7 linked regions of the Macaca fascicularis genome follow. The protein of the gene in region 2 purifies or fractionates together with the protein of the main gene of each other region. This does not show direct contact. Links are inferred from orthologs where the notes say so. Each region holds a gene or a part of one and is shown on either strand. Other genes may lie near its edges.

Region 1 (4,257 bases), on a different chromosome or scaffold from region 2:
TGGTAGACAGTACTGTTCTAGAATCATCCCTAGCAGAATTTGGGGAATTTTATGTAATAAGAATTTTGAGCTTTGGCGGAATCACAGAGGACGTACAGTCCAAAGCCTGGGGAAACTGAGGCACAGAACGATTTATGGGTGACATCAGATCACACAACATGTGTCAATCCGGACTTCTGGACTTCAAGTTCACGCAGCCCAGAGAACAAGCTGCTGATTTTTGTTCAAACCTGCTTCGTTCTTACTGTGCATTTGCACTCAGTGTTGGCTGTGGGGGAGGACGGAGTCCTAAAAACTGGGAATGGTTCAGTCCTGAGATGTTCAGAGATGCAAATTCTGGACACATCTCTTTTATCCCTCCCTGGCTTGTGGCTTTGTTTAAGGCTGTACATATGGGCTAGGGTTGGGAGGGTGACTGAGACATTTGATGGACAAAGACCTGTTGAGTTTCCTCATTTCCATCAGTACAGAGATTGGGAACATACTCCCGGGGCCATGGAAGACTGTCATCCTATAAAATTTCTTCTTTTTTGCTTTTGAATCTTCATTATCTCCTCTGTCTGCTTCCTTGTAGGGGTCCATCGTAAAGCCATTAATACGAAATACCTGGAGGTTCATATCTTCAGAGGCCGCAAGGAAGCAGAGTCTATAGAAAGCTTTGGGAAGGGAAAAGGAGTCTCTCTCAGGATGTGGTGTCCACAGCTGAAGGGCTCAGAAAGTGGGCTTAGCTCAGGGGCCTGGTGCAGGAGATGACTGGAAATCAGCCCGGGCTCGCAAAGTGCCCAGGGGCTTTGATGTGCCCAGCATCTTTCCTTCCTCCCCCTCTCTCCCTCATTAATCCCATGTGCTTCGACACCTCCCAATGACTCTTCCGTCACTGGTTCTATAATTCTCTCCCTCCTCTGCTCCCAAACCTCCAATGGCTCACTGCTGCCTTTTATTAAAGTCTTTCTTAGTCTTATATTGAGGGCCCATTTGCTCTTGTATAGAAATCATCTCTTTCCCTCCTAAGTGTAGAAACCAGTTTTGCATATATGAGTGCCTTACTGTTACTGTGGTTTGCAGAATTATTCAGTTGGGGTTTGGCATTGACAGTGATTGAGGCTTTGCTCAAAGCTCTTTGATGTTTAATAGCTTGCTCAGGAAGAAGTTTTGTTTCTGGTGAGACTTTGTTGAGTCGGTAGCCTGGACAACTACTTAAAATCAGTATCCAGCTGAAAATTCAGGGCCTAGTAAACAGACCAGAAAGAAGGCAATAAAAGCTGATGAAAAATCGTGTGTCTGTAAACCTCGGGTAACCTTGAGCTGCTGGTTTGGTTCTGTAACACGGTGAACAGAGTGAGCTGTGGATGAGGTCAAAGGCCAATGTGCTGAGGAGCAGCTGTCTAGTTCAGCTGGAAATTAGCTAATGTGTAAACCGGCCTTGAGGTCTTTTTAAGTTGCTTCATATTCCTAGTGTTAGTTAAAAGAAGTAACTTTTATCTCAGACTTTGGTGACTAGCTGTGATTTCATTGCACTATTTATGTTTTCTTTTGGGAAAGCGGCCTTCTTGGGTGTCTCCATGGTGAAGGGGAAGGTATTTTAAAACATGCTCCTTTGGGAGCAGGTTTTGATTTGAGTGATGGGAGGGTGGGGGCTGCGAGGACCGCAGCCCTGCTGGTCAGTGCAGCTGTGGTCAATGTTGTTCACAACCTCTGTTTCTTCTCTTTCTCTATAGACCAATGAGTGGAACAAGAATGATGACAGACTGCTGCAGGCCGTGGAGAATGGAGATGCGGAGAAGGTGGCCTCATTGCTCGGCAAGAAGGGGGCCAGCGCCACCAAACACGACAGCGAGGGCAAGACCGCGTAAGCTGAAACACTGGTTTGCAGATATGCCAGTTATGGGTTTTTGGGGATGTTCTCTGGAATCCTTAGTATCCGCAGGGGAATTTCACATGTGCTCCCGCTCCACTCCCATATTGAAATATGTGAGAAGATATTTTAATCTAGTTCCTTTCTCTCCAAATTCCAAGTCACACATGGAGCTTTACCTCGAATGGGTATACATGTTTCCAGGTATTAGCAAAGGTTTTACCTCCCAAGATTGCAACCAGTTGTAGGTGAGACATGAATTCTGTCTTCGATAAGAAATAGCATAAAAGAGAAAAAAGTATTTTCCTATGACCCTCAAACCTTACTGTTTATTTATCTTAAACTACTTGTTTATTTATTTGATCTTCCTTAGCATAGATCAGTAAGTACGTGAGTAGTATGATTTTGCTTTGTGGTTTGCTGTGTGTAGTACTCTTGCTTGCCGTAATTAAAGCTACACACTTGATTAGTATTTGTGTGTGTTTGTGCATGTGCATGTATTTGTTTATATCCACTCTGACGTTGGCAGTGTTGTGGAGAGAGCACTGACTTTGGAGCCAGATAGACGTCTCACAAGAACTCTATCACTTATGACTTGTGTAATCCTTGAACCTCAGTTTCCTTACTCTAAAATGGAGACGGTATTAGTTAACTGTTAGAGTAGTTATGAGTATAAAATGAAATAATAATGTAGGTTGGATGCCCTCAGAAGCAGGCTCTGAGACAAGGATTTAAGTGCAAGTAGTTTCATATCTTTTTTTTAACATGTCAAATGACGGTTATTGTGTAATTACTGTGAAACACACAAAGCAGTAGTATATATTATTTAGGGATGTATACATACATACAATGCAAGTAATTTCTGTAGCCATTGATCCCAGGAAGCATGAGAAAGGAAGAAACCTGTATTTTTAAGGTGTGTTATTGACAGGTTCCAACTTTGTCACTCTTTCTTGAAGAGGATTCTGGGAATCTGTTTAGACCTAGAGCAGGGTTTGGCTATGTTGCCCAAGCTAGACTTGAACTCCTGGGCCCAAGCAATCCTCCTGTCGCAGTCTCCCAAGTAACTGGGACTACAGGCATGTGCTACCATGCCTGGCTACTGTCTGATTTTATAAATAAAGTTTTACTGGAACACAGCCACACCCATTCATTTAGGCATTGTCCATGACTGCTCCCACACTACAAAGGCAGAGTTGAGTAGTTATAGCAGAGACTACATGGCTCACAAAGCCCAGAGTATTTATCTAGCCTTTTACAAAAAGGGTTTCCTTATCCCAGGTTTATAGTATGCTTCAGAGTTTTTCCACCCAAGGTGTGAGGAACCTAGGGTACCTATCCCTTATCTCCTCTCCCTCAAAGGTTGAGCGCTGACCGGGTACAGTGGCTCCCGCCTGTAATCCCAGCACTTTGGGAGGCTGAGGCGGGTGGAATCACTTGAGGTCAGGAGTTTGAGACCAGCCTAGCCAAAAGAGTGAAGCCCTGTCTCTACTAAAAATAGAAAAATTAGCCAGGTGTGGTGCAGACATCTATAATCCCAGCTACTTGGGAGGCTGAGGCAGGATAATCACTTGAACCTAGGAGGCGTAGGTTGCAGTGAGCTGAGATTGCGCTACTGCACTCCAGCCTGGGCAACAGAGCAAGATTCTGTATCAAAAGGAAAAAAAGAAAAGAAAAAATTGAGTGCTACTCTAAGGGACACCATGGTCATGGCCAGAAAAAGTCTAAGGGGTCCCCAACCCCCAGGCCACAGATGGGACCAGTACTGCTCACAGCGGGAGATGAGCAGTGGTTGTGCAAGCATAACCTTCCTCTGTGTTTACAGCCACTCCCCACTGCTCGCATTACCATCTGAGCTCCGCCTCCTGTCAGATCAGCGGCAGCATTAGATTCTCACTGGAGCACAAACCCTATTGTGAACTGCACATGCCAGGGATCTAGGTTGCGAGCTCTTTATGAGAATCTAATGTTTGATGATCTGTCAGTGTCTCCTATTACCCCCAGATGGAACCGTCTAGTTCCAGAAAAAAAAGCTCAGGGCTCCCACAGATTCTACATTACAGCAAGTTGTATAATTATTTCATTATATATTAAAATGTAATAATAATAGAAATAAAATACACAATAAATGTAATACACTTGAATCATCCCAAAACCATCCCCCATACTTGGTCTGTGGAAAAACTGTCTTTCACAAAACTGGTCCCTGGTGCCGAAAAGATTGGGGACCAGTGGTCTAAGGGGATTTGGGAAGGGCACCTTCAGCTGTAGGTGCTCTGTATAAAGAGTGGCACAGCACCCAGCCCACAGTGGGCCCTTGATAAAACCAGTCACCTACCCTGCTCATCCTAGATTAGTGGTTCACAATCTTGGCCGCTTCTGCATTTCTGCATTCGAATCAC
Region 2 (4,139 bases):
GGAAATCCTAGCTCTATGTCATCTGGACATTGGAAAGCACTTGGTTGGACAAAGCTGCTTCTCCCCCACAGCACATGCCTGTTTCAGCATCTCAGCCCACATTCACGGAGAGGGAGAATATCGCAATTGTTAAGAATGCAGACTCTAGCACTACATGCCTGGGTTTGAATCCCAGCTCTGCTGCTTATTTGTGTGATTTGGGCTAGGTTTTTTAACCATCTGTGCCTCGGTAAATCCCATCTACAAAGCAGAGATAATAATAGTACCTACCTCACAGGGCTGTTATAAGGATTAAATGAGGTAACGCGGGTGTAACATTTAAAACAGTGGCACAGCACATAACAGGGATATGAACAAATGTTAGCTACTATTAGTGATATGTGAGTGGGGGAAGTACTGCCTTGGACTTGGGGCAATATCAGATCTGAGTTTCTGGAAAAACACCTGTGGAATAAGTAAGGGTTGGCCACCTCCTAAAACAGGACAAAAGATCTGGCTTGCCTAGATCCTTAGCGTGACTGCCTCTCCTCCTGCCTTTCTAGAAGCAGTATTACGTGATGGAAATATTTGGTGGGTGCTGTGGGCACAAAGATAAGTTAGTGTGTTTTTATCCCCTAGGAGCTGAGTCGAGAGTGGGAGAAAAATGCATAAATAATTACCAGGTAGGATGATTAAGCAATATACTGGAAGCAGCAACAGAAACACACTGTGGAAAAAAAGATACCCACGGCGTGGATGGAGATACAAGATGTGTGAAAGCGCTAAACACAGGCAGCCATATGCACCCATGTAAAATTGTATTATTGCTGACTCCTACAGGGCCCACTTTAACTCTTCTTTCAAACAGAATCCCTGCGGAACTAATTTTGTAGAACCACTGGGGGTAAAGACCTTTATTTGCAATGTCGAACTCCAGCAGAGTTAACCCCTTCTTGCTTTTCACAAGCGCAAACCCGGGTTCCAAACGCTGCAGTTCGCGTTTCCCGGCTAGGAAGAAACACGAGGAACTGCTTGCAGATCTAAGGTATGAAGCCATGAAAAGGAAAGCGAGGCCAAAAGGGTGCAACCACCACGTCTGGAAAGCGCCAGTGAAGCAGAGGAGGAGGAAGGTGAGCCCTGCCCCAGCCCGCTCTGCGTAACCGGGGCTTCCTCCGAGCGGCAAAGCCGGGCACCTCCTTGGCGCCTGCGCCGCGGCGGCGAAACTCGGCGCCGTGGACGTAGAGAGAGAGGGCGACGCACCTGCGCGAAGACGGCGGCGGCAGAAGCCGCTCCAGTGCGGCTGCGCGGAGGCCCAGGCGTCGAGGGGAACCTCGGCGGGGAGCGCGCCGGGCGCCTGCGCGGAGAGCTGCGTGACGCGGTGGCGCGCAAGGGACGTGCGGAGTGAGTGGCGCTGCGGGTGGGGCCGTCGGCGGCGCTGGTGAGCTTTGCGGAGCTGGGCGGTGCCGAGGACGAGGAGGTGGCGGCCTTGGTCTGACGCGGCCCTGTTTGTGGGGGCCCCTCTTGTTTATTTATTTATTTTCCGTGGGTGCCTCCGAGTGTGCGCGCGCTCTCGCTACCCAGCGGGGAGGGGGTGGGGGGAGGGCCCGGGAAAAGGGGGAGTTGGAGCCGGGGTCGAAACGCCGCGTGACTTGTAGGTGAGAGAACGCCGAGCCGTCGCCGCAGCCTCCGCCGCCGAGAAGCCCTTGTTCCCGCTGCTGGGAAGGAGAGTCTGTGCCGACAAGATGGCGGACGGGGAGCTGAACGTGGACAGCCTCATCACCCGGCTGCTGGAGGGTGAGTGCGCGCCGGGCCGTGGGACGGAGGGAGGTCGGGCGCCGCCGCCGACCCCTGCGTCCACCTCCGCCGCCGAAACGCGAGGGGACCTCTTTCCCGCCCCGAGGCTGTCTCTGGGAGCGCGGCGCGGCAGACCAGCCGAGGAGGGGGCGAGGAGGCTGCTGGGCGCCGGGGAGCGGCCTCCGGGAGCGCGGTCAGGGGAAATCGGGGGAGAGGGGGCCGTCCCCGCGGACCCTTGGTGGCCAGGCCCGCCGGCCGGCAGCTGTGCGGAGCGGGTCTGCGGGAGACAGCCTTTCGGAAAGGCCGCCGGGCTCCGCGCGCCGTCGTGCTCGCCTCCGGTGACTCCTCCGAGGAGGGGGAGAGGATGCCTGCCACCGGGCTTTGTGTGTCCGTGGAATCAGTGTTTCTTCTCTCTTTGTGCATTGCCCTTGGCTGCCTCCGATTGTCGTTCCGCGAGTGAATTTTATGTATATATATAAAAACCTGTCCGTAACAGGAATGCTTCGTCTGCTCTGCATTTTTACACGATGCCATAGAATGGATTCTTCTTAGAGAGGATAAAATTAGCGGGAATTTATCTACCATTTGTTATTCGGCCTAAAAAAATTGTAAGACAAAATATTTGATCAGGTTGAAGATGCACGTAAGAAATGTGATGTATGTAGATGTTGGCTTTTGCGTTTGATTTGAGCAGAGCTTAATTTCTGCACAACTTAGTGAAGATCTATTTTTAAAGCCTGTCTTGTGTTCGAAAGGTATTTGCAAGTCTACGCAGCATTTGAACTTTCCGGGCCCTGGTGTTCTTATCGAATAGTTTTATGTTGGTGGGAAGGCAAGGGGGGGGAAAGCCAGGAGTTAAATGTATTGATTCATTGCAGGATATTATTCAAAGTTAAATGCCAAACAGTCCTTCTACCCTAAAATGTTCGTCATCACTAATTGTTTTGTGAGTGTGTAGAAAAGCCATTAATCCCTTTTAAACAATTTAGAGGCCTCTTTGTTAGCCGCCATCGAAGGATTGCATATGTACTGTTTGCTTTCAAATTACCTTAAGATAATTGTTTGCTACAGTAAAGCAACATGTACTTATATTTGGAAAATCATCAAAGAATATTTTAATGGGGGAGGGGTAACTCGTTTTTTTCAACGAATGTGTCGGTATCTAAAACCCAAGTTCTGTGTGTAGCCGTTCTGTAACTAAATACTGTATATTTGCTCCAGAAGTGAAAGCCATCCAGCAGTCTTAAGACTGAATAGGAAGCAAAAGTTTTACCAGGAACTCTTATTTACCTTTTCCTTTACTATCAAGTTATTCCTGGGAGGCCCCCTGGTGCCTGCAGTCAGTGTTCACTACCTAAGACTTTGTTTCAGATGTGAACGTCTTGCTGGGTATTTGAGAAATTTGCTTTGAAGAAAAATTGTATTTTGTAACTGTTCTATGAGAGAAATACAGTTAATTTAAAAATGTATATGTCTTGTTTACATTTGGGAAAGTAGAGGCCTACTCTCCCCCCCCCTCCCCCCACGGAGTCTCACTGTGTCTCCCAGGCTGGAGTGCAATGGCACGGTCTCGGCTCACTGCAACCTCCGCCTCCCGGGTTTGAGCGATTCTTCCGCCTCAGCCTCCCGAGTAGCTGGGATTACAGGCACTCCGCCATCATGCCCGGCTAATTTTTTTTTTGTATTTTTGTAGAGACGGAGGTTTCACCATCTTGGCCAGGCTGGTCTTGAACTCTTGACCTCGTGATCCACCCGCCTCAGCCTCCCAAAGTGCTGGGATTACCGGCGTGAGCCATCGCGCCGGACCCAATTTTATATATTTTAAACTTTGCTTGTAAATTTAAATATTTTAAAAATATGTTTGTATCTCAACTTTATATTTTATTTCATTTTCCATCTATTTTATAGGCATAAAACAGATTTATGTTTTAAAATGTTTGTATCCTTTTAAATTAGATGCACCTTTTTATGATTACAGGTACTTAAACTTCACGAGTGGGTTGTGCAAGGTTACTGGAAAAGACATTGGGGGAAAAATAGTCTAAGTGATTCAATTTGTTTTTGTGAATTCAAATTAAGTATTTGGTTTTGTACAATCTTTTTTCCTTTTTGGGGGGCGGGGGTAAGAATTGTAGTCCAGACACATTTCTCTCAATTTAGCAAGCGTTAACATGTTGACCTCCTCCTTGCCAGGCACCAGCAATCCTAAAACAAGACACAGTCTCTTCACTCAAGGAGCTCCGAGTCTAAACAAGTGGCTTTCAGGCTTTTTCAGCCTTCTCTCTGTCCTGTGTTCAGCACACATTCTATCAGTAGATTTCAGTACTTCTTCATCCTACAGAAGCATATTTAGTTTGACAGTGCTA
Region 3 (3,500 bases), on a different chromosome or scaffold from region 2:
GTTTCACTGTGTTAGCCAGGATGGTCTCGATCTCCTGACCTTGTGATCCGCCTGCCTCGGCCTCCAAAGTGCTGGGATTACAGGCTTGAGCCACCGCGCCCAGCCTCAAGAAATCCAAAATTTACAATATGGACAGGAAAAGGGCAGAAAGAATGGAACATGGGGGCACACAGCAGTCTGGCTCTGTCGTCCCACCTCGTGGGCTGTGTGAGATGGAACAAGATCATGATACAAGCGCTTGGCCCCTGGAATGTAAGAAGCGCTCAATAAATGCTTTGCCATTATGATTATGTGTGCCGGGTGCCTGGTACACAGTAGGTGCTCAATAAATCTTAATTCCTGCAAAGACCAGTCTAACCTGTGTCTGGGGGTGGCTAGTGGGCTGCTGGTGGGGTGGTGGTTAGTCACAGGTAGTACTGGATGAGACAGAAGATAGCCATGGTCAGGGCCAGATCCCCCTCCCCACCCAAACACCTCTACTCCCCATTTTTCTTGTCATTTTCTCAAGAGCCTCATGAGGCAGAATAGAGCAGTGTTAACTACCCCCATTTTTCAGAAGGGGAAACTGAGGCCCTGAGAGTCACCCTTACTTAGGGCCCTTCAACCAGTTTGCAGTGGGTCCCTGGCTCTCCCACATCTTCTTTTGGAGGTGGGAGCAGAGGGACTGGGGTGCTGGGAGTGGGACAGTCCCTCAGAGGAGTGGCTGCATTTGCTCATAGGAAGTCCGAGGCAGCGGGGGCCTTCCAGGCCCAGGACGAGGGACGGTCACAGCGGCCCAGCCAAGGCCAGAGCCAACTTCTCCGAAGACAGTCCAGCCCTGCCCCCAGCAGGCAGGTGAGCACTGCCAGCTGTCTGGGGCCCCACACCCCAAGGGGCGGCCACTGCCTCTTCCCTCCTGCTAGAAGCCAGGCAGGGAGCTTGGACAGGAAGGTCCTCTATGAAAGGGTCGGAGTCCAATCATGGGTCTCCAGCTCTCCCCTCTCCCCAAGGGCCAGAAGCTCTTGGCAAATTGCACAAGACCTCATATTAGTCCTTGGAAGACAGCCCCTGTCCCATGCTATCCCCTTCCTTTACTAAGTACTGCTTTTTTTTTTTTTTTTGAGATGGAGTCTTGCTCTGTCTCCCAGGCTGGAGTGCAGTGGGGCAATATTGGATCACTGCAACCTCCACCTCCCGGGTTCAAGAGATTCTTCTACCTCAGCCTCCCGAGTAGCTGGGATTACAGGGGCGTGCCACCACACCCAGCTAATTTTTGTACTTTTAGTAGAGACAGGGTTTCACCATGTTGGCCAGCCTGGTCACTCTTGACCTCAGGTGATCCACCCACCTCGGCCTCCCAAGGTGCTGGGATTACAGGCGTGAGCCACCGCACCTGGCCAGTACTGCTGCCAATACTGCTGTCTTGAGCAGATTTCAGGGAAAGCCTTGATGCATGAATCTGGCTCTAAGGGCCCTCTCTTTCAGGGTGATTTGTATCTCTAACAAAACCCAGGGGGCCAGGCCCACTGCAGTGGAATGGGGTATTGGTGGTGGAGGTTCTGGCACCTGATAGCCCAAGTTGGAATCAGTATCTTTGAGAGGGGTGAGAAGCCAAGAATGGGAGCAGGTCTTTGCAGATCTTTTTCTGGAACCGAGGAAAGCGGGTGAAAGGGAAGAGCTGACCCCCGACGGGGGAGGAGGGCAGGGACCCTGTGTGCTTTTTGGCCTGCTTTCATCCAGGCTGCTGTGTGAGCACAGCCTTGCCTCTCTGGGGGCCTGACTAAGAAAGGCAGAGCCGACAGCGAGGTCCCCAGAGAGAGAGCCTCACCCACCTCCCTACCTCATCCCCAGGTGACCAAGCGCCCTGCCAAACAGGCAGAACTGATCTGGCGGAGCCAAGCAGAGCCCCCTCATTCTCGGAGTCCTGAGAAGAGACCTGAGGGAGATCGGCGGCTCCAGGGGTCCCCGCCACCTCCCAGGACATCAGCCAGGACCCCTGAGAGGGAGCTGCAGACACAGAGACCTCTGGAGAGTGGCCAAGCAGGCCCAAGACAGCCTCTGGGGGCGTGGCAGAGTCAGGAGGAACCGCCAGGGTCCAAGGGCCCTCACAGACACCTGGAGAGGAGCTGGAGCAGCCAGGAGGGAGGCCTGGGGGCAGCCAAAGCCTTGGAGGGAGCATGGGGGGGCCCTCCTGGGGAGTACAGGGAGAGCTGGGGACAGCCAGAGGCCTGGGAGGAGGCGGCCACCCATGAGCCCCCCAGAGAACTAGGGAAGAGAAGCGCACTCACAAGCCCCCCTGAGAACTGGGGAGGCCCCACAGAGTCCTCACAATCCAGGCGCCCTGAGACACCCACTACTGTGGGCTGGGGGGCAGAGGGAGCGTGTCCATACTCGCATGGCCCTGAGAGGCGACCCGAGCTTGACTGGAGGGACCTGCTTGGTCTTCTCCGGGCACCAGGAGAGGGGGCCTGGGCCCGTCTCCCCAGGCTGGACTGGGAGGGCCTCTTGGAGCTCCTGCAGGCCAGGCTGCCCCGCAAGGACCCAGCTGGACATAGGGATGACCTGGCCAGGGCTTCAGGGCCAGAGATGGGTCCCCCAGGCACAAAGGATGTCCCCGAGCAGGAGTCACACAGTCAGCCAGAAGGCTGGGCCGAGGCCACCCCAGTCAACGGACACAGCCCCGCACCGTGGCCCCAGAGCCTGGCCCAGCCGCCCAGCCCTGCCTGCACCTCCACCCAGTGGCCAAAGACCAAAGTGACAAGAGGACCAGCGACCGTAACTCTGGCAGGCCTAGAGCAGACGGGCCCCCTGGGGAGCAGGAGCACTGCAGAGGGCCCCAGTTTGTCAGAGCTGCAGGTAAGGAGGTTCCCCCCTCCCAAGGGTAGCCAGAAAGTCAGCCCCCCACAGCCAAGTCTCCTTGGAAAAGCCTCCCCTTTGAGTAGCCTCAGCTCCTGCATCCCCCTCCAGGCTCAGACCTCAGCCTCCCTGCTGACCACAACCCATCCCGACCACCAAACTGGCCCAATACTGATGATGAGCAACACCGTTTTAAGTGTTTATGGGCCAAGCCCTGATCTGAATGTTTGATGTGTACTTTTACCATTTAGTCTCCTTAGCAACCAAGTGAGAAATACACTATTTATTTGCAGATAAGGAAACTGACGCGCAGGGTGAAGCCACTTGCTGGTGGGGCATGGGCGAAACCCAGATCCGCTCAGTGCAGACCACACTGAGGCCTCAAGCAAGATGCTCTGGCCAGGGCCTGCTCCCCTCCTGGCTCCACCATACCTGGTTTATGTTGTGTCTGGTGGCACACACCTGACCCCACCTGGGACTATAGCCAGTGTGGTCATGCCCCTTCCCCTGGTGATACCCAGGTTCCTGAGTCCAGGACAGCCTCGCTTACCCTCTCTGGCCCCTACAGCTCTTCTCAGACACAGAGAAGGGGGTGCATCAATGCTCACTGGGTTCAGCTAGCTGCCAAAACAGGCTGCTTAAATGAGGCTCGTGTGCAAAGTGGG
Region 4 (4,175 bases), on a different chromosome or scaffold from region 2:
CTCATAACAGTTAGCATTTGTTGAACTTAATTTTCTTTTTCTTTTCTGTTTTTTTTTTTTTTTTTTTTGAGACCGAGTCTCGCTCTGTCACCCAGGCTAGAGTGCAGTGGCCGGATCTCAGCTCACTGCAAGCTCTGCCTCCCGGGTTTAGCCATTCTCCTGCCTCAGCCTCCCGAGTAGCTGGGACTACAGGCGCCCGCCACTTCGCCCGGCTAGTTTTTTGTATTTTTTAGTAGAGACGGGGTTTCACCGTGTTAGCCAGGATGGTCTCGATCTCCTGACCTCGTGATCCGCCGGTCTCGGCCTCCCAAAGTGCTGTTTTTTTGATACAGAGTCTTGCTCTGTCGCCAGGCTGGGGTGCCGTGGCGCGATTTCGACTCACTGCAACCTCTGTCCCCCGGGTTCAAGCGATTCTCCTGCCTCAGCCTCCCGGGTAGCTGGGGCTACAGGTCGGCACCACCAGGCCCAGCTAATTTTTGTATTTGTAGTAGAAACGGGGTTTTACCACGTTGGCCAGGATGGTCTCCATCTCTTGGCCTTGGCCCACCTCGGCCTCCCAAAGTGCCTCGCCTCCATAGCAGGCGTGAGTCACCGCGCCGGGCCTGTTGAACTTAATTTTCTAATCTCTACCTGTGTCATCCTCACAGCTATTCTGTCTGCAGCTATACGTGCAGGGATCTTTATGTCTTATTATTCATCTGTTATCTTCCGGTGCCTAAACAAGGCCTGGTACATAGTAGGTGCTGAATAAATGGTGTCAGCCCGAGGCTCCTGAATTCCTGCCCGGGCTCAGGTGCAGCGCGGCGCTCCAGGTCCCGCCGTAGCGAGCGGCAGCGCTGGGCTCCGGCCCAGCTCCCGGCGCGCTCGCCCCGTACTGGGATGGGCTGGGCTGGGCTGGGCCCGGCCGGGCCGGGCCGCGCTCCGCTCGGCGGCAGTTCCGGGTGCGCCGCAGGAGTGAGCGCGTGCACGGGGTGGGGCGCAGACGGCAGGTCGCCTCACAGCCCCGGTGCCTTCCGCATCCCCGCCCGCGGGGACTGTGGGGCGCGGTTCCCTCGCCGACACCCGCTGCTGCAGGCCCAGAGTCGGGTACTGGACCTCCAACAGCGCGGACACCCCTCCGGCCCGAGCCCCGTACCCCGGGCCCGGAACCCCCGGCAGGCGAGCCGCGCCGCTCCCCGCCCCGCCGCGCAGACCCCGCCCCCGCACCCCGTCGGCGCCCGCCTCCCGCGCCGCTCTCCATACTTGGCGATCGCCGCAGTCCCGCGCGCTCATTGGCCGCGAGCTGGCGGCGTGGGGGGCGGGCCCGGGCCGGGCCGGGGCGGGGAAGGAAGGTGGCGGCGGCCCGGCGCGGGGGGAGGGGGGCGCTGACCCGGATGTTCACTCCTGGGCACCCGGGGAAGTGGAAGCGCCGGGCCCTGCTGCGGGGGGGAGAGCCACTGACGCCGGGACCGGGACCGCCGCCGCCGCCGCCACCATGGTAAAGGCCGCACGGCCCCCTCCCCGGCCCGGGGGCCCCTCCGGAACTCGCGTCCCCCTCCCCCGGCCCATCCGTGGCCCGGGACTGGTGGCTTCCCGGGGTGGGGGAGGGGCGGGGTCCCGGACCCTGGGTGGACCCGGTCCCTCCCCGCCCAGGAGGGTGCCGCCGGCGCGGACGACTTGGGTGGCAGTGACCCTGCCCCCGCTCCCAGCCCTCGCCCTTGGCACAAGCTGGAGTCCCACTCACCACCTCTGTGTCCAGGCTGGTCTCTCCCATAGCCCAGGCTAGACCCTCCCTCCCGAACCGTGGCCCCAGCCAGGCACCCCCCCCCCCGCGGTGACCCTGGCGTGGGCCCCCTTCCTCCCCCGGTCTAGGGCTAGGTCTGCTTTCCCCCGTCTCTCCCGCCCAGGCTAGGCCGTCGTTTCTCCCTGCCATGGCCCAGGCTAGGCCGCTGCCTCCCTCCCTCCCTTGCCTTCTCCATGGCCTCAGGCTGGACCCCGGTCAGCCCTTCCTGCAGCGGTCTAGGTTTGCTTCCCCTCTTCTCCGTGGCCTCAGCCTGAATCTCCTCATCCCTCTGTGATCTTAAATCTGGACCTCCTCTCCTCCGCCCATGGCCCCGCCTGGACCTCACTGCCCCCTCCCCACCGTGATCCCCTTCCCTGGACTTCTCGCCACTCCTAGCGTAACCTGCGTCAGCCCCGCTCGGTCTCCGCCCTGACCCTCTCATCAGGGTTCTGCCCCCTGCCCCGTGCACGACCCAGGGTACCCTTCCCTCTACCTGGGGCGCGCCTTCTTTGCAGCCTTCGGGAAGCGAGGGGAACTCTCCAGCAGGGATGGGGTGGTCCCGGTGCTGTGCCTTCTCAGTTGCCCCTTCTAGGGAGGCCGCTTGGGAGCCAGCGAGGGAAAGGCGGGCATCGGTGTGCCCAGAAGGCAGCGCGCTGCGCTGCGGGCCCTTCTCGAGGTCGCCGCCGTGGGTGCTGTGCTTGCGAAGCGTCCTGCAGGGCGGGCCGGGGTCCGCGGCGCCCAGGCCTGAGTGGGAGCTGAGGGCTGAGGGTGGGTGGCCCACAGGACAAGGATGAACGCACAATCGCCCTTGTGAGGCCATGGCCTTGGGGGGCCAGCAGGCCCAGGATCCAGCATATGGCCTGGACACCATGCACCCGAGCAGGCGCAGCCTCCCCTTCCCTCTGAACTGTCAGCTTGTAAGGGTGGGAACTGCTGATTATGGAAGTCCCTTGGATCAGGTGAGCAGAACTCCGAGGGAGAGTGCTGGCTCCACTCGTAGTGTTTGATTTGGTAAAGAAAGCAGATGCTATCCAGACTTTTGAGGAACCTGGGGCTTCACATAGGCCCCCACAGATAGACCTGCACTCCTACCTCTTGATCATTCCGCAGGACAGGCCCAGCACTTAGGTTGGAAGGGCCAGAGAACTTCCTGACAGGGTCAAGGGATTTTTGGAGCATATTTGTATGTGGGCTTTGGGCCTCAAAGTGTTTTGAGGACCCTGGTTCCTTGTTTAGTCAAGGGATGTTGCTGCTGAACGAGGGTGAGGAGTTGAGATGAGTTAAGCTTTCTTTTGATACCTTCCTGTATGCTGATTAAAAACAGGGGCAATGCCACTTTTAAGGCCTTCGGATTTCTCCAGTGACGTTGGCTGAAAACTCCTTGTTTGGGGAGGCCTTGTTTTGACCCCAGGTCTGGGTGGAGCACGACTTCTCCAGGGCAGTGTTGGGTGAGGACTTTGAAAGTGGGCTGAAGTTTCGTTACTGAGTGTGCACTGAAGACAAAGTATGCGGCAGGAAGCGGTGATGCTCCCCAGGTGATGGGAAAGTGCCCCAGTCCCCCAGGAGGAGCACATGACACCTGAAGCTTCTCAGGAGTCTTGCACTCAGCTGTCATCTGAAAAGACTGGAAAGGGTGGAGGAACTGTCTGTCTGCCAGTCACTGTGGTGTGCTTCACCTGTACAAGCTGGTTTCATCCACACGAAGCCCTTCTGGGGCTGTCCGCATTTGATAGATGAGGCAGCTGAGGCTCAGGAGGTGCAGTGACTTATTCAAGGTATTGCCCAGCCAGTGGAGGAACCACCGTTGGTCAGTAGAAGCCCATCTGGCAGCCTCTAAACTGTTATTCCCATTGTACCAAGCTGCTTATATGTCAGGAGGTTTAATGACACCGTTTGAAAAACATAGAATGGGATATTCAAACATGGCAAGGGGGGAGGAGCAGTATTTATTGCCCATGGTTTGTATTTTAAATCCTTTGTATAGAAAATCATGTTATAGCGAAAGAGCTGTATGGTGGTACAGGCATATTTAGCATGGGCCAGAATGAGCTCTTGGAGGGCAGAGATTTTTGTCTTGTGTATTCCACAGCTGTATCCGTGGGGCCTAGAACAGCACCTGGCATTGGAAGAAACCACTTGGAATGTTCTCTTTGGGATGTGTCTGTGTCCATGAACTTACCTGCTTGGATTTCATATTCATTCTCTCAGTCACTTGTTCTTCGTATCCCTTAGGCTTGTAATTTCTGACTGCTTATTGTTAGGTTTATCCCCTATTTGAATACTCTGACCATTAAGCCAGTGTAGATGGTTGGGGTAGGACAGAAGTGGTGGTGTGAGGTTGCATTGAAGGGAAATGAAATCAGATCACCGTGTTTTTCATTTTCAGTAGATTCGATGGTAAAGAATACAGCTA
Region 5 (3,500 bases), on a different chromosome or scaffold from region 2:
AGCGCAGGGCTGCGCAGTAGTGGTCGAGCTTCACCTGTGAGGCCACCAGGTTGTTCAGACACCTCACCCTCAACTGCAGGAGCTGCTTCTCCTCCTCGAACGTCATGTCCACTTTGGCGCTGGAGGTGACGGTCTTGATGGCAAGGTCATAGGAGTTGGTGGCCAGGACGAAGTCCGCCCACTGGTAGTGGGCACTGCCGCACTCCCACTTCCGGTTGGCCAAGGCCACGCGCTCCTGCCCTATGAGCATCTCCAGGTCAGGCCAGTCCACGGCCATCTTCGGGGTCACCTCCAGGCATAGGGCCGCGTGCGGGGGATGTATGGGCTCCTGTCCTGGGGGCTGTAGCAGTACATGCAGTCAGCAGTGACCATGGCTGCCTCCCCCACGTCCATGAGTTAGACACTGAGATCCAGGGCCTGGATGACCTCACAGACGCTCAGGGTGAACACTAGCTCCGGCTCCTCCTGCACCCACATGCCATTCTCTTGTGATGTCTGCAAATGCATGGTGACCACCTGGCCCTTGACTGAGCAGCTCAAATCCGGTGGCCCTGGGACAAGCGTCTTCTTCCTCAACAGCTGGTTATGTCTGGCCACTCTTCTGGGGCCGGGGACGGGGCAGGCTCAGGCTCCATGGCAGTGAGGAACTCTCGGGCCAAGGTCCCGGGCTGTTCAGTCTCTTCCACCAGGGGCTGTCCCATGTCCTCCAGCAGTGGCAGCTCTCTAAGGTCATCTTCCTCCTCCTCTCCCTCCTTGCCCTCTGCATTCTCGACCCCATCCAGCACCTCGAAGTCCTCGAGCAGTGGGACCCTGGCAGGAGGCGGGGGCAGAGGGCTCAGAGGGTTCAGCACACGATGCCATGCTGCTGAGGGGATAGGAATTGGCCCTCTGGCTCCAGGACCCCTGCCTGCGGTCCTGTGCCCCCCTCCGCCATATTGAAATTTTTATGTTTCTGATCTATTTTTTGCTTTAGGTAAGGGGGCAAGGAAGACTGAACGAACCAAAAGGAAAAGCTATTTTTAAAGTTTTTTTTTTTTTTGGCCAAGTAAATAATAGCAAGCAAATAGCTACTTGATTAAACTATCAGTGTGCCTGTCTCCCTTTAAAGGCTTTGCATTTCCAAAATCAACTTAAGGACTAGAAAATATTTTCATTTGTTCCTAAGATTGAATTTTCATGGAAAAAAAAAACTGCATTGGAATTCCCCCATACCCTCCCAAACTGCACCTTATCTTTGTTGTCTAGTAGAGCAGAAATCCGAGGGCTTGAAGAGGAACGGTAGATGGAAGAGCCTCGGTCCCTTAGAGGTTCCCTGGAATTGGCCACCTCACTCAGCATGTTGTGGCTGCCAGTTTTTCTCAGTCCCAATCTCCACGAAGAAGGAGATTCATCTTTGGGCTCTTCTGGCTTGTTAAAAAGGCCAGAAGAGAACTACGAGAGAAGCAAAAGAAATGAAAAATAAAGGCTCTGATGATTCTTTTTCAGCCTATTTGCCTTTTCCACACTTAACTAAGTTCAGCGAGGCAACATAAGGTAGCTAAGAACAAATACAGGGCAGTCTTTCTGCCAATGTTCCCTCCCTCACCCGGCAAACACTAATAACCTCTCCAGGCTCTTTCTTCCTAAGTCAAAAATAGCCTCGGATTCTTCACACAGTGCTCCTACCTGACAGAGTTGTTATGAGAAATTAAACACCATTTGCTATCCTTGTGCAATTAATACTGACCTGGAACACCAGGAGATTGTATTCGAGTAATGTATCTTCTTCTAACTCACTGTGGAACTGAAAATAAGATACTTTACTTCTCTAGGTCTCAACATGCTCACCTGTAAAATGATGATAATGAGCTTAATCCCTTATAATATGTGGAGACTGGAAAAAATGAGACCAGCTAATTTATCTTTTATTTTTTTTTTTTTTGAAGTAGGGTCTCACTCTGTCGCCCAGGCTGGAGTGCGGTGGCCTAATCAGAACTCACTGTAGCCTTGACCCCCTGGGCTCAAGCGATCCTCCCACCTCAGCCCACCAAGTAGCTGGGACTACCAGCATATACCACCATGCCTGGTTAATTTTCTCTAAATTTTAATAGAGACAAGTTCTCCCTATGTTGCCCAGGCTGGTCTCGAAGTCCTAAACTCGAGCAATCCTCACACCTCAGCCTCTCAAAGTGCTGTGATTACAGGCATGAGCCCATGTCCAGCCAGGAACAGGCTAATTTATAAATACATTTTAAGGTACTATGATAAAGTGATTTAAGTTAACATTGATAAAAATTCTAGAAGCCACTCCACTTAAATTCTGCTAATTTCAAGGAAATTTATTTGATCTAGAGTAGCAGTTTAGAGAGCTTTAGATTTCACTGAGCAGCCTCCAAAAAAAACCAAAAAAAAAAAACCCATAAAACTAGAGGTCAAAGGGTTGCTATCTTTTTATCTTTTAAATTTAATTTTGCCAAAAGAAAACAACATTCTGAAAGATGTTTTCTTTTTGAACTCATCATCACCACCATTTCATTAAAAATGAAATGTTAATATCAAAAAAGAAAGCTTTATGGAAAGCTTACATTGTCCTTAATTATCTCATTTTGCCATAAACTAGGGAAACATCATAGATCAGTATTAGGCCAAGGACCAGTTTGGGGTACAACTAGTCTTTGGAACACAAGCCAACAGACCCTTCCTGAGGTCCAAGACCTTTTCAAGAAGACTTAGGCCTTTCTTCCAATATAAGGCTACCTTTACTGCCTGATACGGTGAAAATAAATAAAACTATTAATCACTAATCTCCAACTCACATAAGATTTTCTCTTTTCATCAGTCATCTGAATGTACACATGTATGTACTCCTTCCAGCTTTAGGGGTTCAATGTCAGCTTTTTACAAGCTACTCTGATTCTAAGGGGGAAAATGCCTTCCCCAGCATCATTTTAGCAAAGTAGAATAAGTATCTTTGTGTGTGTGTGTGTGTGTGTGTGTGTGTGTGTGTGTGTGTGTGTGTGGTGGTGGTGGTGGTGGTGGTGGTGCTGTTGTTGTTGTTGTTTTTGAGACAGGGTCTCACTCTGTTGCCCACGCTGGAATGCAATGGCACAATCACAGCTCACTACAGCCTTGACCTCCCGGGCTCAAGTGATCCTCCCACCTCAGCCTCCCAGTCCCAAGTTGCTGGGACTACAGGTGTATGCCACCATGTCTGGCTAATTGCTTTATTGTTTTTAAAGATGGGGTTTTCCCATGTTGCCCAAGCTGGTCTCAAACTCCTGGGTTCAAGTGATTTGCCTACCTTGGTCTCCCAAAGTGCTGAGATTATAAGTGTGAGCCACTGTACCTGTCTAATTTAGTATTTTTCTATTGAAAAAAGTAGGAAGTCAGACAGGCATCCTTAGAAGCAGTGGCAGTATATGAGGTACACCTAAATGACTGAATTAATGAGTGAGATTACATTTATTGGAAACCTCTTTAATTATTCACAATGATGCTTCTAGGGATAAATAAGTAGCCAG
Region 6 (4,271 bases), on a different chromosome or scaffold from region 2:
CGTAGAACAATGGACGCTGGTCTTACATATGAAATCTATTCAAGCTGCACTTTTATAGATCACCCTAATTCCAAAAGATCCAAAACTACCACGGGCTCCTCTAACCCCCCATTTCCTTGGAGGCTTCAGGATATCCGGCCTGACGGCATTTCCCCTCACCTGCTTTCGGGGCCCGTTTTGCGCTGGGCAGTTGCGCCCAAGGAGCGCGCGCATCCAGCATGAGCTCATTTCTCATGGGCGTTTCCAGAGGCCCGGCCGGGCCGCGCACACCAAGCGCAGCGGGCCTCTCTATCAATGGCCCCCGAGGCTGGGCGGGGCGCGGCCGCCCAAAGAAGCTTTGTTCCCATTTTAGCGTCTGAGAGCTTGCTGCCGGCTGGGAAGGCCCCCTTTGTCCGTCAGGCCCTTTCGGGGAAGAGGCCGACACCCGGCACACGCGATCCAGGGCAGAGGAGAGCCTTAGGCGCGCAGAATTGGCTGCGCCCCGCCGAGAGCCTCCTGTGGATGGGGAGAACCCCTCGACCCCTCTGCTCGCTTGAGCGCTTAGAACCCAGCGCCGCCGACCGCAGCACTTTCCGATTTGCTGCGCCTAGGGCAGGCGGTCCCTATTTGCGGTTTCCACCGTAGTTGGAGGCCGCAGGCGAGCCGTCGGGTCGTCAGCCACGACCCTAGTCGGGCATCTCCCAGGTCCTGGGACGAAGGCCGAAGGCCAATCACACCGCAGCTAGGTCTTGCGATTGGACGGCAGTGAGAGCCGATTGGCCACCGCCGCGAGTTTCGAGCTCCACCCTCTCCCTTTTGCCCCAACTCCAGCGCCTAAGCTTCCGGCCAATGAGACGGCGCTTTATAGACGCCCTCCCTTCGCTTTCTTTTCCCCACCTTGGAGAGGGAGGGGGAGTCCTGACTGGCCAAACTGTCCTCGGAAGCCCCCTTCCCTTCACCAATCACCGAGGGAGGTACGCTCCCAGCGGAGTTTTCCAGCCAATTACAAAGCGGCGGCGGCGCCCAACCGTGCAGTTTCACCAGCGTCTCTGGGTTTCACCGTCTTCAACTCTTCAAGCTTTTTCGTGAGGGCCGGCGACTCTGATTGGCCACTGTTGCCATTGTCGAATGTCTCCTCCAGCCAGCCACCGAACCAGGCGAAATCACCCTTTCCGTTCGGCTGCCTTCGGCATTTTCCGCTCTTTGGGCGTGGCTTTCCAGCGTCACTTTCTAATTGGTTTCTCAGGCCGATCGGCTTTTTCCGGGAGGAGCCGCAAACAAACGACGTCCGTGATTGGCTCCGTTCGGGCTTCGGCTCCCAGCCGAAGCGGGCGAGAGTGGGGCTCGGGCGGCGATTCCCAGACGCCTGTTACGCGGGCGGCGGTGCGCTGGGCGGTGTAAGGCTGGGTGGGGGAGGAAGGAGGTGGAGGAAGAGTAGGAAGGGGGAGGGGGAGTGGGGAAGTGCAAGGCGGCTGCGCAGACAGCGCTTCTCACACAGAGCAGCCCCTGACCCGGGCGAATGCGGGCTTGTGCCGCCGCTGCCGCCGCCGCCCGGGCCGAGTGACAAAGGAAGGAAGGAAGGAAGGAAGCGAGGAGGAGCCGGCCCCGCAGCCGCTGACAGGGTTCTGGGCTGGGGGCAAAGCGCGGACACTTCCTGAGCGGGCACCGAACAGAGGCGAGGGGCGGGAGGGCGGCCGAGCTGTTGCCGCGGACGGGGGAGGGGGCCCCGAGGGACGGAAGCGGTTGCCGGGTTCCCATGTCCCCGGCGTATGGGGAGCAGTCGAGGAGCCGCTGCCTGGGGTCTGAAGGGAGCTGCCTCCGCCACCGCCGCCGCCATGGCCGCTGGATCCAGCCGCCGCCTGCAGCTGCTCCTGGCGCAATGAGGAGAGGAGCCGCCGCCACCGCCCGCCTCTGACTGACTCGCGACTCCGCCGCCCTCCAGTTCGCCGGGCCCCCGCCGTCAGCCCGCCGGATCCCACGGCTGCCGGAGCTGCAGCGTTTCCCGTCGCATCTCCGAGCCACCCCCTCCCTCCCTCTCCCTCCCTCCTACCCATCCCCCTTTCTCTTCAAGCGTGAGACTCGTGATCCTTCCGCCGCTTCCCTTCTTCATTGACTCGGAAAAAAAATCCCCGAGGAAAATATAATATTCGAAGTACTCATTTTCAATCAAGTATTTGCCCCTGTTTCACGTGATACATATTTTTTTAGGATTTGCCCCTTCTTTTCTCTCCTCCCAGGAAAGGGAGGGGAAGGAATTGTATTTTTTCCCCAGCCGTAAATCATCTATATGTTAAATATCCGTGCCGATCTGTCTTGAAGGAGAAATACATCGCTTGTTTTGTTTTTTATAGTATACAAAAGGAGTGAAAAACCAAGAGGACGAAGTCTTTTTCTTTTTCTTCTGTGGGAGAACTTAATGCTGCATTTATCATTAACCTAACACCCCAACATAAAGACAAAAGGAAGAAAAGGAGGAAGGAAGGAAAAGGTGATTCGCGAAGAGAGTGATCATGTCAGGGCGGCCCAGAACCACCTCCTTTGCGGAGAGCTGCAAGCCGGTGCAGCAGCCTTCAGCTTTTGGCAGCATGAAAGTTAGCAGTGAGTATTGATTTTATTTTACGCCCCTTTTCCACTTCGCCCTTAAAATAAGAAATCTCGGAATACCAGGATCTGAAAATATTAGACTTCCTAATATAACAAACAAGCAATGGAAAAGGGCAAAACCTATCTTCAGTCAAGGATGAAGCAGCTCCCTCTTTACTCCTCCCATACCCCCTCCCCCGGTCTCATTAACCTTGAATTGAGATAATATGATTTTTATTTGGATGATTCGATTTGAAACTGCTTTCTTATACTTTTCTTGCTGTTGGTAGTCAGTTTCATCAAGTGCTTGAGTGTTTCCACGTTAGTGATGACCGTGTTTACTTGCCCATCCTTTAGAATAAAGAGAAGGACAAGATTTGATTAATAAACCATTGTGCACATTTGCAGAATGTATGTCTTTTGGAATAAGAGGGTATTTTAGGTCTCAGGATTTATCATAGTTTGGTATACTTAATAGAGACATTAAACGTCCCACCCTCCCAACATTTTTTTCTTGTCTGTATGACTACACATAGTATTTGTTCTTAATCTGTGGATGAACTTGCTCAGTAACCATTCACATTTGGAGGCTGTCATTGATTTCTCTCTTTAGAAGGGACTAGTGGGAGCCAATAAATACCCAGCAGCAGTAGCATCTCTGTATGCATTTGTGTTCGATTGGATTAGTGGTTTGATGTGTTCTCTCTTAACCTTCCTGTTTTGACATTACCAACCTGCCACCGTATAATTTATATTTAATCAAAAGGTAACATGGAAGTATTAATAGGTCCAGGTTTTGATTGAGATTTGTTTTGTCATAGTGCCAAATAGTAAGTTAAATGTTGTCACTGGCTCATTACATTTAAGTTCAATTTTGGAGTACTGTTGCGCTCCTGTTAAATGTTCTGGGGGGTTCCTTAAAAAGGACGATTTAAAATACTCTTGCGTTAGTTTCCATCACATTTAGATAACTGTGGATTTAGTTAGAAGAATGTGGATTTAGTCCTTTCCATTTTGGCTTTTGCAGATGGCTGTGGTCCTGCAAATAATAGGGATATTTGGACTGTGTTCAGGGTTGTAGATAGACTACTCTTGTCCTGGGTTTGTGCTGAGAAGTATGCTTTTGAATGTTTAGTATATACTAAGTATCTAATGTTCCAGTGTATCTCTATTTATGGAGAAGTTCATGTGGTGTTTAATGACAGCTTGTTTAAACATACTTTCAGAATTTAACAAAAATATCTATGTTGTTTCCTTATTGTGGGAAAGAGGGTCATCATGAGGGCAAAGAAATTACTGTGTTGCTTAGAAGAACGAAGAGAACTAAAAAACTGAGATTTTAAGAACTGACACACACAAAAAACATGTATGTTATGTGAAATTGATTATATTCTTAGGCAACATAAAATGATCACTTTTAGTTGAACTCAAGATTTCATTTCGTGTTGGCTTTGGGAACTAGCCTGAAACAGGGTAGTCTAGGTAATAGCTGAATGGGAGATTATTTTTCAAAGTTAATTTTTTTTTTCCCCCGGTGGTTTGCAAGTAGAGAATGCCGGGGTAGGAAAAGAGGACAGCTGATTATGCATCTTTCAGGGAAGGGTCGTGCTTTCTAAGCGCTTCATGGAGTCATTTGAAAAATATTTTAAAATTCCGGGGTAATTTTCAGCTATGATGATACAAATCTTATAATAACTACTTAAGAGCCT
Region 7 (3,998 bases), on a different chromosome or scaffold from region 2:
CGCGGGTTTGATCTCGTTGCAGGTTCCGGGGGAGGGACACCCCTCCACCCCGCCTGCCGGCGGTAGACGCGCCGTAAATGCGCTTTGGAGACCGGAGGATAACGAGACAGACTTACAGGCAGTGGGAAGGACGGGGGTCCCGCGAGGGCCGCCGGTGGGCAGTTCTGTGGCCGGCTCGGCGCCCCCGGACCCCGGCGTTCAGGACCCTGTGGGAGACCTTCCCACCTTCCCAGTGGTTTCCACCCCGCGAATTGCAGATTATCTCCCGAATCCCAGGGACTTAGCGGTCGAGTGGGCGGAGGGGGAGCGTGGCTCCGAGCGCCACTCCGGGCTGGGGGCAGGTTCCCGGCGCTCTCGCCCCATCGGGGCAGAGAGTACCGACCACGCTGCGGGACGCGGCTGGCAAGGCCCTGGCCCTGCCGGGGCCCTAGCCCCGGTCTAGGAGTGGAGACGCAGCCCTGCTGCGCGCTCCGGCAGGAGACCCGGGTGGGGACGGGGGCGGAGGAGCCTGGGGGCAGGGAAGGGGACAAAGAGCCGCCCTGCCGTGGGGAAGAGCGACCCCCATGTCACAGTCCTATTGTTCGCTGAGTCTCCGACTGCCCTGAACTCTGGTGCCCCCGGGAGGGAGAAGGGGCGCCGTCGCCCAGATCGTGGGTATTTGTTTATCTGGGGAGAGGGAGGAGGGCGGGGGACGCGGGCCGGGGAGGGGGCTCGACTGCTATTTCTGCGCGTCGCCTTTAAGGGAAGCCCGGCCCTACCTTTCCCACCGTCCCCCTCCCCGCAGTCGTACCTGCATTTTAAAAGCGCCCTGTAGCCCTGGGATTGGCCAAGGCCGCGTCCTCTGGGCGCAGAAACTTGAACCGCCGGGAGCCGGCTGCGGGCGGGGGTCGGAAACCCCGCGGATGGACCGTACCACCCCCGCGGCTCCCCCCACGCGTGCCCCGCCCCTCCCGCACACCCCCGGAGCGGCCCAATCGCACGGCCGGGAGGGCGGGACCGCGGCCGGAACGCGCCTCTGAGAGGGCACCGGCCGGGCGGGCGCACCGCGCAGGGGGACGGCGGGGGCCGCGCCTCTGCTCCCCCGTCGCCCTCGGGGGCGGGGCCGGGCCTCGGAGCCCCGCCCACTCTCCGCCCGGGGTGGGCGGGGCGGCGGGGGCTCCCGGAGCTGGGCCGGGGGCGGGCCTCCGCCTGCCTCGCCAGAGCCCTGAGAGCGCCCGGCTCCGCGGCCGCCGACGCAGCAGCCGCCTCCGCTCGTCAGCCCCGAGGCGCGCGGGCTCCCGGGCAGCCCCGGCGGGCGCGGCGAGAGGGCGCGCAAGGCTGCAGGGCGGGCCGCACGCGCCCCCGGCCGCCCCCCGCCCGCGCGCGGACCGGCCCAGCGGAGCCCCGGCGCGGGGAAGCGCAGGCCGGGCGAGGGCGATGCCGCGGTGACGGCCCCGCCATGGCGAAGCCCGCAGCGACGGCGGCGGCGGCGTCGGAGGAGCTGAGCCAGGTGCCGGACGAGGAGCTGCTCCGCTGGAGCAAGGAGGAGCTGGCGCGGCGGCTGCGGCGCGCGGAGGGCGAGAAGGTGGGCCTCATGCTGGAGCACGGCGGCCTGATGCGCGACGTGAACCGGCGGCTGCAGCAGCACCTGCTGGAGATCCGCGGCCTCAAGGACGTGAACCAGCGACTGCAGGACGACAACCAGGAGCTGCGCGAGCTCTGCTGCTTCCTCGACGACGACCGGCAGAAGGGGCGCAAGCTGGCGCGCGAGTGGCAGCGCTTCGGGCGCCACGCGGCCGGCGCCGTGTGGCACGAGGTGGCCCGCTCGCAGCAGAAACTGCGCGAGCTCGAGGCGCGCCAGGAGGCCCTGCTGCGCGAGAACCTGGAGCTCAAGGAGCTGGTGCTGCTGCTGGACGAGGAGCGCGCGGCACTGGCGGCGACGGGGGGCTCAGGCGGCGGCGGCGGCGGCGGCGGCGGGGGCGGCGCCGGCTCCCGCAGCTCCATCGACAGCCAGGCCAGCCTGAGCGGGCCGCTGGCGGGTGGCGCGCCCGGCGCGGGGGCCCGCGACGTGGGCGACGGCAGCAGTACGTCCAGCGCGGGCAGCGGCGGCAGCCCGGACCACCACCACCATGTCCCACCCCCGCTGCTGCCCCCTGGGCCGCACAAGGCCCCCGAAGGCAAGGCAGGAGCAACACGTCGGTCCCTGGACGACCTGTCGGCGCCGCCGCACCACCGCAGCATCCCCAACGGTCTGCACGGTAAGGACTACACGGGCCGGGCAGCGCGGGTCTCCCTGGCTGCAGCCCCTTACCCAGGCTGCGGCGAGAGGAGGTGGTCCCTGGCGGTCCCACTCGTGCGGCCGCCACTCCAGACTCCTCCTCCAGCTGTCATGGATCCTGGACCAGGGGATCCCGCACTCACCCGAAGTAGGGCTTTGGGCGGTTGTGGGCCGGTCCAGTCGTGGAGCGTCTTTCTGTTCAGCTCAGAACCTGCTGCCGGTCCGGTCGCAGGAAAGTTTCTAGTGGGTGTAGTTGCCAAAATTGGCGTCTGTCACTGCTGGGCTGGCGGTGGGCGCCTCATCCCAGCCTTGGAAATCCTTGCCTAGTAGCGGGAAGTTCTGAACAGAAAAGAATACAAGGCCTCTTTGAGCGCAGGTGAATTTCCCCTCTTGCAGCAACAGGTGTCCTCCAAGCCAAGCAGTGTCCACGTGTGTGCAGTGGCTGGAGTTCTGCAGTAGGGTGCGGGGATTGGAAGGGTGCACAGGCAGCTGCTTGACACCCAGGGGCAGCTGGGAAGAGGCCTGGGGCTCAGAGCCTTTCTGGTTTGCCATAAATTCCGCCCTTCTAGTCCCGGGACCTTTCTCAGCCGAGACTCTAAGACTTTCCCGAGGGAGATGTATTTGGAACGGATTCTAGTTTTTCTCCTCTGTCTATCTCCGTTTCTTTGTCTGTAAAATGGAGATGATGACCTCTGCCTCGTGGATTTGAGGTGGAGATAAACTGTCTGAAGGGATTTATAAACTGTTGGTCGCCTTATAGGAAGTGCCATGGTCATCCGTGACCAGGGTGTGGGTGGGTGGACCTTTGGCCTCTGTCAGCGCCTGTCTTCCACGCCCATATTACTGCTGCGCCCAGTGCAGAGGGTGGCCCCAGCTTGGGGCTGTGGGAGCCTGCAGGCTGCTCCCTCTCCCAGCCTCCTGCTCAGCCCTTCTGCTCCCTGCCGGCTTTCTCGTCCCTGCCGGTGGATCCAGGGCCTCCTTGTTCTTACACGTTTTTTGGTTGCTTGGCTTCCAGTTCTGCTGGTAGTTACAACTGCCTGAACTTTTTGCCTGAAGGTGGAGAATGAACAGCCCTTTCTGGTTGCCTTTAAAGCCTTTCCTAATTCAGAGAAAGTGTGTCTAGGCCTGAAATCACTGCCCTCCCCAGGACCCCTCAGCCTGAGGTGGGGAGGGACGTTTGCTCCTTGGTTTGGTGGCCAAGTGGCCTCTGCAGGCGTGATGGGGTGGGGGCTGGGGTGGGAGACATATCCATGGAGGTGGGGCGGGGGCAGTGCAGCATATTTTTCCTTTATTTACCATCCTGAGCCTGTGGGTTCAAGGTAGGACTGACTGGGTTTAGAGGGATATTTTGTTACTGATTAGCAATCTATGGCTACAACTCAGGTTTCTCTTTGTAACACTGTATCCACCCCCCACCTCCCACCACAGGCTGCTTGAGGGCAGTGAGAGTAGTGCAAAGTTAGGTGATTTAATTCATTTTGGGGCTGTTTAGAGTACCTCAACCCCTTTGACTTCGCGGTCCTGGGGGGCTTTTGAAGGGTCAGTTATCTGGGCCTCGGTTTCCCCAAGGGCAGTACAAAGGAGCAGACTGCTGCAGTCTCGTGGCTGGAAAATGAAATGTTTCTGGTTTTCAGCTGCGTCATCAATGACACTTGGCGAGAGTGCCTCTCTGCAGGACACTGGAGGGCTGGAGTGTTTAGAGCATACTTGCAGGAAAGTCTCTGTCATGTTTTGGGCAAAG

The links.
Region 1: the proteins of PPP1CB (region 2) and RAI14 purify together in Homo sapiens (affinity purification with mass spectrometry; 3 studies listed by BioGRID and IntAct, with this or other methods). This does not show direct contact. The link is inferred for Macaca fascicularis from reciprocal best matches to the Homo sapiens genes PPP1CB and RAI14.
Region 3: the proteins of PPP1CB (region 2) and TRIOBP purify together in Homo sapiens (affinity purification with mass spectrometry; 3 studies listed by BioGRID and IntAct, with this or other methods). This does not show direct contact. The link is inferred for Macaca fascicularis from reciprocal best matches to the Homo sapiens genes PPP1CB and TRIOBP.
Region 4: the proteins of PPP1CB (region 2) and CAPZB purify together in Homo sapiens (affinity purification with mass spectrometry; 3 studies listed by BioGRID and IntAct, with this or other methods). This does not show direct contact. The link is inferred for Macaca fascicularis from reciprocal best matches to the Homo sapiens genes PPP1CB and CAPZB.
Region 5: the proteins of PPP1CB (region 2) and PPP1R12B purify together in Homo sapiens (affinity purification with mass spectrometry; 4 studies listed by BioGRID and IntAct, with this or other methods). This does not show direct contact. The link is inferred for Macaca fascicularis from reciprocal best matches to the Homo sapiens genes PPP1CB and PPP1R12B.
Region 6: the proteins of PPP1CB (region 2) and GSK3B purify together in Homo sapiens (affinity purification with mass spectrometry; 3 studies listed by BioGRID and IntAct, with this or other methods). This does not show direct contact. The link is inferred for Macaca fascicularis from reciprocal best matches to the Homo sapiens genes PPP1CB and GSK3B.
Region 7: the proteins of PPP1CB (region 2) and CCDC85C purify together in Homo sapiens (affinity purification with mass spectrometry; 3 studies listed by BioGRID and IntAct, with this or other methods). This does not show direct contact. The link is inferred for Macaca fascicularis from reciprocal best matches to the Homo sapiens genes PPP1CB and CCDC85C.

What each region holds. Positions count from the first base shown.
Region 1 is NC_088380.1:35,050,762-35,055,018, forward strand, and holds the start of RAI14 (ankycorbin), read left to right. Parts: upstream 1-1,457; 5' UTR 1,458-1,523; coding exon 1,524-1,577; intron 1,578-1,718; coding exon 1,719-1,849; coding exon of another isoform or gene 1,850-1,865; intron 1,866-4,257. UniProt on the Homo sapiens protein: Plays a role in actin regulation at the ectoplasmic specialization, a type of cell junction specific to testis. Important for establishment of sperm polarity and normal spermatid adhesion.
Region 2 is NC_088387.1:93,467,775-93,471,913, reverse strand, and holds the start of PPP1CB (serine/threonine-protein phosphatase PP1-beta catalytic subunit), read left to right. Parts: upstream 1-1,339; 5' UTR 1,340-1,380; exon of another isoform or gene 1,381-1,417; intron 1,418-1,426; exon of another isoform or gene 1,427-1,634; 5' UTR 1,635-1,721; coding exon 1,722-1,773; intron 1,774-4,139. UniProt on the Homo sapiens protein: Protein phosphatase that associates with over 200 regulatory proteins to form highly specific holoenzymes which dephosphorylate hundreds of biological targets.
Region 3 is NC_088384.1:13,901,998-13,905,497, reverse strand, and holds part of TRIOBP (TRIO and F-actin-binding protein), read left to right. Parts: exon of another isoform or gene 1-340; intron 341-719; coding exon 720-834; intron 835-1,830; coding exon 1,831-2,835; exon of another isoform or gene 2,836-2,860; intron 2,861-3,500.
Region 4 is NC_088375.1:215,599,076-215,603,250, forward strand, and holds the start of CAPZB (F-actin-capping protein subunit beta), read left to right. Parts: upstream 1-1,375; 5' UTR 1,376-1,474; coding exon of another isoform or gene 1,475-1,477; intron 1,478-4,175. UniProt on the Homo sapiens protein: F-actin-capping proteins bind in a Ca(2+)-independent manner to the fast growing ends of actin filaments (barbed end) thereby blocking the exchange of subunits at these ends.
Region 5 is NC_088375.1:60,186,559-60,190,058, reverse strand, and holds part of PPP1R12B (protein phosphatase 1 regulatory subunit 12B), read right to left. Parts: intron 1,432-3,500; coding exon 1,228-1,431; intron 991-1,227; exon of another isoform or gene 1-990. UniProt on the Homo sapiens protein: Regulates myosin phosphatase activity. Augments Ca(2+) sensitivity of the contractile apparatus.
Region 6 is NC_088376.1:163,085,250-163,089,520, forward strand, and holds the start of GSK3B (glycogen synthase kinase-3 beta), read left to right. Parts: upstream 1-1,471; 5' UTR 1,472-2,489; coding exon 2,490-2,577; intron 2,578-4,271. UniProt on the Homo sapiens protein: Constitutively active protein kinase that acts as a negative regulator in the hormonal control of glucose homeostasis, Wnt signaling and regulation of transcription factors and microtubules, by phosphorylating and inactivating glycogen synthase (GYS1 or GYS2), EIF2B, CTNNB1/beta-catenin, APC, AXIN1, DPYSL2/CRMP2, JUN, NFATC1/NFATC, MAPT/TAU and MACF1.
Region 7 is NC_088381.1:167,683,220-167,687,217, reverse strand, and holds the start of CCDC85C (coiled-coil domain-containing protein 85C), read left to right. Parts: upstream 1-1,198; 5' UTR 1,199-1,438; coding exon 1,439-2,237; intron 2,238-3,998. UniProt on the Homo sapiens protein: May play a role in cell-cell adhesion and epithelium development through its interaction with proteins of the beta-catenin family. May play an important role in cortical development, especially in the maintenance of radial glia.